Linked DNA regions of Struthio camelus. The protein of the gene in region 2 interacts with the protein of the main gene of each other region in a pairwise test. Links are inferred from orthologs where the notes say so. Each region holds a gene or a part of one and is shown on either strand. Other genes may lie near its edges.

The links.
Region 1: the proteins of ITGB2 (region 2) and CYTH1 interact in a two-hybrid assay, tested with the Homo sapiens proteins (2 studies listed by BioGRID). The link is inferred for Struthio camelus from reciprocal best matches to the Homo sapiens genes ITGB2 and CYTH1.

The regions. Positions count from the first base shown.
Region 1 is NC_090960.1:636,293-640,194, forward strand, and holds the start of CYTH1 (cytohesin-1), read right to left. Parts: upstream 2,691-3,902; 5' UTR 2,661-2,690; coding exon 2,558-2,660; intron 1-2,557. UniProt on the Homo sapiens protein: Promotes guanine-nucleotide exchange on ARF1, ARF5 and ARF6. Promotes the activation of ARF factors through replacement of GDP with GTP.
Region 2 is NC_090947.1:655,902-659,803, forward strand, and holds the start of ITGB2 (integrin beta-2), read right to left. Parts: upstream 3,093-3,902; 5' UTR 2,934-3,092; intron 1-2,933.

The DNA.
Region 1 (3,902 bases), on a different chromosome or scaffold from region 2:
CCTGTCCCAGCGGCGTCTCCCACGGCCCGCGCTCGCCGCTCTCCTTGGCGCAGAGGCGCAAGCTGCGGGCGCCTGCGCCACCTCTGAAAAGCCCCGCTGAGCCCGCGCCAAGGGACGTGCTGGGGCCGGCCTGGTCCTCTGGGAAACAGGGCTCTGCGAGGCGGCAGCAGGGAGAGGAGCAGGGCCGCCACGGAGAGGCGTGGGGAAGCCCCTGCCCTCCCGCCAGCTGGGGATCCTGTTATCCTGCCCTCCTTTCGGCAACCTCCGGCACCTCACACCACCTCCTGGCACCGGCCACCCGCCACAGACAGCAAGGCCCCCCCAAGCACAAGCCGCTTTGCAGGAGACTGCACCGCTTAGAGAAATCCCTTAATCCCCCAGCCCAGAACGGACAGTAATCCCTTGGGTGCAGCAGGATTACCACCGCTGCCCAATCCCCCTCACCCCGAGGCCTTGGGGCCGGTCCTGAGCCGAGACGGGACCCAGCTCAGGACACCGGTGCCTGCAGAGCCGGGATGGGATCAGGCTCCCTGCCAGCAGGCTGCTCGCCGGCGCCGCCGCTCAGCAGGGGCCAGAGCGGCCGTGACTTCCCCGGCCTGGGCGATTCCCTGCCAAGATACCTCCTTCCACCAGCGTTCCCGCCGGACACTGTGGCGTCTCCCAAGGCCAGCACGGAGCCCCGCCGGCCCCGATGCGCTTGCCACCTGCTATCCCAGCGCTTCACCTGCTCCGATCCAGGGATGGCTCCAGTTCTCAGTACCTTCCCTGCGGGGGAGAGGCTGAGAAGGGGGTAGGAGCAGAGCCCTTCACCTTGGCAGGGAGAAGGGGGAGAGAGCCCACATCTGTGCCGTCAGCTGCTTACCCAGGGATTTGCTCTCTGCTGAGGCAGACGGCTGGAGAGAGGTCGCGTACCGTGCACGCGGCGAGGCAGAAACGGGTGTCAGCAGAATCCCACCAGCAAGAGCCTACCCTGAGGGCTCCCACCATGTCAAGAGACCCCAGCAGATTGTCCGCTACAAAACCAACAGAGCTCAAGGGCTTTGGGACAGCACTAGGATCTGCTAGGGAAGCTGCAAACCACGATGCCCTACTTGACATTGGAGAGACAAGCAGCGTGGACTTGGAGGTAGCCGTGCTGCAAATCCTGTACACCACCCTGCGGCCCAAGCAGCTCGGTTAGCAGGCAATTTCTGATGCTGAAAAATGACCCAAGTCATCTTGCAGCCAACTCCAGGAAAAATCAAGCGGCTGCTCTCAGGATCCTTCCCTGCAGCGCTCTCCAGCTAACGGGCTATGTTTAATGCCTGAGCGTACAGGCACCTCGAGAGAGCTGCGTACCCGGAGAGCCAAGTGTTTATACCTTATCTCAAACAGTAACTCTGCAGCGTCAAACGCAGCCACTTCTGGGGCGGGACACAGCAGCCTCCTAATCTGCATTACACAACCGTTTCAGGCAAAAAGCAGCCCGTGAGCCAGCACGGGCAGCGGGCCCGAACCGGCGTCTCCGAGCTCGAGCAGAGCCCAGGGCGACCTCGACTCCCCGGAAGAACGATCGCTGGCACAGCCCAGGGCTCAGAGCATCCAGACCTGGGCTTCAGCGGGGCCTCACCCCAACAGCCCTACCTAATCAGTCCCCAGCAGCCTCCCCCCTCTACAGAGCCCTCGCTCAAAGAAAAGTCACCTGCCAGCTCACTGGAGCCTTTCCCATCCGGGCACACGCGCTACCTTTTCACCCTCGTGGACAGCGGGAGGGAACGTGCTTCGGACAGAGGGGACGGAGGAAGGCTGGGGAAACGCGTGCAAGGGAGGGAGCCCGCCACCGCCCCGGCAGCGGACCATGCTGCGGACGGGGCCGGGGGCTCCCGCGCCGCCCCGCTCTAGCGGTCTGCGAGGCGCTTAGCGGGCACCGCGAACCCGGCTCCCGCTCCCGGCGGGGGCGCAGGGGCCCGCTGCCGCCCGGATCCGGGCTGCAGCAGCCGAAGGCAAAGCGCGAGCGGCCGGCGCCCCCGCAGCCGGCGGCGGGGCTTCCCCCACGGCTAGCCGAGGAAGCCACGGGCCGCGGCGCCGGGCGAGGCAGAAAGCTCGAGGGGAAAGAGAAGCAGCCGCCGGCGCAGCGCGGGGGCCGAGCAGCCCGGCTGCCGGCCGGAGCCCGAGGGCGCCCGGCTCCCCCAGCGGCTCAGGGCGGCCGGAGCCCCCGGCCCGCCGACGGCGCCGCCTGCCGCGCCCGCAGCTCTCGGTTTCGGCAGCCGCTTCCTCAGCGGAGCTTCCTCCTCCGGCCCCGCGGGCGGGCGGCCGCGCCGGGCCCTCGCTCCACCGCCGCCTCTGCTGCCGGCGGCTCCCGCGGCCCCGGCGTCGCCGAGCGGGAGCCGCCCCGACGCCGGGCACGCGGGCACCGGCTCGCCTGGCCTCGCCTCCACCTGCGCCGCCAGGGCCGGGCCGGGCCCGTCCCGCCCCCCCGAGCCCCGCGGCGCCCCCCCCCCGACCGACCGACCGACCCCCGCCCCGCCGCCGCGCTCCCCCCGCCCCGCCCGGCCCGGCCCGGCCCGGCCGCACTGACCGTAGCCGCCCTCCTCGTCCATGCTGCCGCCGCGCCCCGCCGGAGCCGCTCCGCTGCCGCCCGCGTGACAGGGCGGCGCTGAGGCCGCCGCGGGCGAGGCCATGAGGCGCCGTCACGTGACGCGGGAGCGGGCGCGGCCTCCCGCCGCGGGGCGGGGCTAGCCGCCGGCGCGGCCCCGCCCACGCAGCCCCGCTCCCCCCCCCCCGCCCCCGACGGCCCCCACGCGAGACAGCGTTCACAAACTCCGTTGCTTTATTGCACCGCGATCTCGGCGACAAGCGGGGTCGGGGCCCGGGGGCCGCTCGCGCGGTGCCCTGCTCCCCCACCGGGGGAGGGGCGGTGGGGGCGCGCGGGGGGGACACCACCGTGCAGCACCCCCGCTGCCCGTCGGGTGACACGGATGCACTCCCCAGCCCGGCCCCTGCCCTAGGGCTCGTCGGCACGTACATAGCGCGGATAACGAAGCGATGCCCGCTGCAGCCCGTGCCCCACGGTGCCGGCAGGGCTGGAGCGGGGTGTGGGGCAGCACAGGGAGCAGCGGGGTGCAGGGGGGAGCAGGGCCCGGCCAGCGGAAGACTGAAGGGCTGCACCACGCCTGGTGCGGCACACAGACGAGGGGAAAGCAGCACCGGGCGGTGCGTGGCACTGTACGAGGCAGGCACGCCGTCAGCAAGAGGGGGGCAGCACCTCAGAGCACCAGCCCAGCAGCAGCAAACCGCCCCTGCTCCCAGAGCCCCAGTGGTGCAGGAACAAGCTCTGCCCCCCTTCCTGCCCCTTCACCCCCAGGAGGCCCAGGCAGGGCACACCACAGCCCCAGCTGCAGGAGGGCTGGAGCATGCCAGTGCTCTGCACTGGGACAGACAGAGCAGCACTGGGAAAAGGGGCCCAGCAGCAGGGCAGGGCGAGGACGGACTTGGAGCATGCCCTGGCAAGAAGCAGCTCCAGCACAAGGGGAGAGCCCCATGACAGAGCGTGCCCAGGAGGGACTAACAGCAGCCCTCGTGGTCCCAGCTATGCAAACCAGGGCCGGTGTCCCACTCCCCACAAGGCAAGCAGATGCCACTGATCACCTGAATGAGCCGTGACGATTTGCAGGCACTTTCCAGTGCAGCTCCCCAGAGCCTCAAAGCACAGGATGAGCATAGCTGGGAGAAGGGCTGCCCCAACAGCAGCACTGAGGGGAGCTGCAACTCCTGCTTTCTCTCTGTATGCCTGCATGAAGCTCCAGAACTGGTAACTGAGAGATAGCAAGGATGGAAGGAGCTCTGGCAGCTCCGAGCTCCAGGCTAGGGCAGAGCCCACGCTCGCAGGCATACAGAGGAGCTGCTGAGGCAGCTGCACGCAG
Region 2 (3,902 bases):
ATGCTGATGTCCTGTGGCACTTGTCATAGGTTAACCAGGGATATATTTACCTAAATGTGCCTTGCTGAGGCCCTGTTCCCTTCTTATAGGTAAACACAGTCGCAATGTAGACAAGTACCCTAAAGTCACAGAGGTCCTCCAAGCCACATCTGCTACTTCCTATGCTCACAACACAACCTCTGGTCCAGGCACAGGTTAGAAAAGCATGGCTATGACTGCTCAGGATCCCTCACCAAACTTCCCGCAGCAAAAAGCTGCTTGCTCTCTAGACGTGTTTGTATGAGGAGTGTTTTCCTTCTAGCAGCCCCAGAGCATTTAGGGGAATGGACTGTGGGATGAATGCTCTCCGGTGTACTTTGCAAACTTCCTGGCATGTGCCATCCCGCAGCTCTCAAGCTCGAGCCTTGGGTCGAGCCCTGCGTCATTCTGGACATTTAGGAGTGGTGGTGCCAGTTTCTCCTGTCTCCAGCTGCTTTTTGAATGATGTGAGCCTTGCAACCTCCTCCTGGCAGGCACCACCTGCCCCTTTTGGCAATGGTACTCCAAAGCAGTGGCAAGCTGGGCTGCTTGTCCCTAACCCTGTGTACATGCATGATGGAGCCTCCTGTCGGACATCAGCCCCGACCGCTGCCCTGCGGGTGCCTTGAGAGCTTGACGTCCAGACCAGGGCATGAGTCCTGAGCCACCTTCAGCTTGGGAGGCTGGAAAGAGCAAATTTCCTGAGGCTCAGTGCGAGGTGCACAGTGCTCAGCCTACACAGTTGCAGCCCGAGAGTTGCAAAGGCTGTTGGTCCACTGTGGCAGAGCTCAGCCCTGGGTAGGCAGCACTGCCCTGAAAGTTTGGGCTGTGATCGCCAGGACAGCCTGGGCAGGCTGCAGCGTGTCCCCTGTTGCATAGTGTCTTTATATCCGTATCAAATGCCATTCTGAAAATACCTGTAGAGCGATCCCAGCTCAGGGGGTCATGTGGGAATCACTGGCTACGGGTCTGTGTCATGTTGGGCAGGAGTGATGAGGTGTCACCACTGTCTCCTCCAGCCTTTTGGACAGTGAATTGAGTTATTTGTTTCTCTGAGGAAATAAGTTGTTCTGTACCATGCTCTTGTGCACCCTGGATAGAAATGTCTTGCAATAGAAATAGCCATGGGATGGAGAGGACAGACAAAGTGCAAAACCACTGAGCAAAGCAGGATGTGACAGCTATAAACGTTGCATTTCCCTACTATAGCTTTCACACACGCCTCAGAAGTCATATGCGCCTGTACGAGCAACAGGGTGAGATACCTCTGTGAATGTTCACACGTTTGCTTTTCATCCGCCTGAGAGGCGGGCGGTTGGGTCTGTGGTGTTTTCAAATGCATCGAAACCAGCAGTCAGTCTGGTCTTAAACAGTCTGACGCTAGAATTAAGAATGACTGTATATCCCAGCCTTTCCATTACACTTGGGCTATTTCCCATGTATCCTAAACTACTTCTTTGCTGTGTTAGACAGCAAACTCTTACCTACACAAAGGAGACTTTGCTCTCGCCCAGGGTTAGTTTGCCTGCAGCAGCCTGTTCATCTTCCCAGCCTCCTGCTCTTCCCTGCCTGCTCCAGGGTGCAAGTGTCTCGAGAACTGGAGGCCTTGCCCCTTCCTGCTCTGGGTTTTCAATCAGTATCAGCATATGATTCGGTGTCAGGTGAAGGGGGAGAAGAGCAAGGGCCTCATCCCCTTCTCTAGCTCTTCTTCCAGGCAAAGGTACCCAAATTCAGCAAGTCCTGACGCAATGTAAATCTGGTGGCAGGCATGGGTCCCAGCGGTACTGCCACCGACCCCTTCTTACAGCAAAGCTGGGCTCGTTCCCAGGTACAAGATGTGATGGAGAAAGGATCTGCGCCCTCAAGGGTTTAGGGCTGGGTTCTGCCCCCACCAAGCCCAGCAGCCTCCGCTCTGCCCCGGGCCCGCAAGGCGCGTAGGAACTTGGGGAATGTCCCCTTGCATGCTGACGCACCACCGTGTCGGAGGCGGTATCAAGGCTGAACTTCTCAGCAGCTGGAGCCTTGCTGCCCTCGTGCCATGCCGCTGCGCGCTGAGTCAAGGTTTAGTTCCTTGTTCCTATATGAGCTGTAACATCCTGTAGCTGCATGGGTATCTGCACGCTAGTGTAAGAGTTGGCCCAGAAGGAGGAAACGCTGGATGTTTGTTCTCCGGAACGCAGGACCCCGACAAGATGGAGCGCGCAGCACTGAGAGGGCAGCTATTGCTCACAAGTGCCCTAAAAGGAGGTTTCCCAAGCTTGGGGTGAATCCTCCTTCTATCCTCGCTGGGGGCAGAAGTAGGTCTGCTCTAAAGCCGGAGGAGCCCTCGCAGGCTGGTCTGGCACCGGTTCCTGTGCGGGCAGCTGATGTCAGCCCTCTGCTTCTGTGCCAGCTGGTGCTCCCATCCACCCCTCGCCCCAGCCCTTTCCTTGGGCCATGCTCGTGGCGGCAGCTGCGTACGCCCCATCTGCGAGTCTCCTCGGCAGCCATTTCTACTTGTGCCGAGGGATGTGATGGGGGCACCTCAGGTCAGAGCAATAGCGAGTTGTACCCTCTCTATTCTGGTTTCCAGGCCTACAGAAGGGTGATGAAGATGCTCTCTCAGGTTGGACACCACCCCCTTCCCCAATAATAATCGCCAGTTCCAGGCTTACTTCTACCTCCAAAAGCAACAGAAATTACAGACTAGTCAAGTCTGTCTTGGCAAAGGCTATGCTGGATCAACCATCACTTTGGAAGGAGTAAGGAATGAGCGCTGTGGCAATGCACTGAGCTCTGAAAAACAGCTCAGGATTCAAGTGGCTACTTCTCAAGAGATTAGATCAAGCAGTATAAAACAAATTCATTGGAAACACCACAGGTGCTTCCTTGCCCTCCACCTGCCTCCGTCCGGAAAGAAGGAATATTATATTCACCTTGCATCAAGTTGTCTCCTGGGCTCCTGTGTTTCAGGCTGCAGTAAAAGTTGGTCTTGGCTTGCTCTCAACTTCCTCCTGCTCGGCTGGAAAAAGAGGTCAGTCATCGGGAGCTCTGCAACACGCTTTAATCTTTTCTTCCTATTTCTGTTATACAATTGGTTGGTGTCAGAAAGGAGGAAGTCAGAGTAGTGGCTGTGGGCGGGTCCAAAAAAAAAAAAAAAAAAACCCCAAAACCAACCAGCCCAACTTACCCTAGCCGAAGCCGTTTGCCCCTGCCTTCCAGTGCTATCTGTTGGGTGGTTTCAGCAGTAGATACCACGATGCTTCAGCCCACTCTGGAGTATTTGGTCTCATCCTCACCAGGCAGGGCTGCTGGGGCTGGAGGCTGGGTGAACCCCCTGCACAGCGGCCGCAGAGCATCCTGCCCTGTGGGGCCAGGTGTTATCCTCCTCCTGGACCGCACACTGCACCCAGGAAGAGTCCTCTTTGCTGCAGCCATCACCCCTTGTAGACGGGTGCCATGCAGGGTGCAGCCGTGCTGGTCACTGGCTGGCGTAGCGGGAGCCTTCTGCATAGCGTCACCTCCAGCTGGCTAAGGAAAGGGCTGGGCGAGCTCATGCCCCGTTCCCGTGCCGGGCCCTGTGCGCACCAGTGCCGAAAGAGATGCTGAGCCCGGACCAGCCGTGGGAAGCGTTGTGCCCCCGCGTGCCTTGTACCTGCAGTGCTGTTGGGAGCAGAAGAGCTGTCAGGAGGATGTATCCTGCTTCTTCCCAGTGGCACTGTGGGATTCCCGGTGGGCTTGCAGGAAGGCTTGTGCTGCTGCTCACCCCTCCGAAACGCAGCCAAAGCGGGAGGCACTGAGCAACTGGGCTTATCTTGGTGGGGTCGGCTGGTGTTTGGAGTGGCAACTGGGTCTGATGGGCTTGCTGCGGCCCATGTTGCAACGTCCTGAGCCTGGCCGGGTGT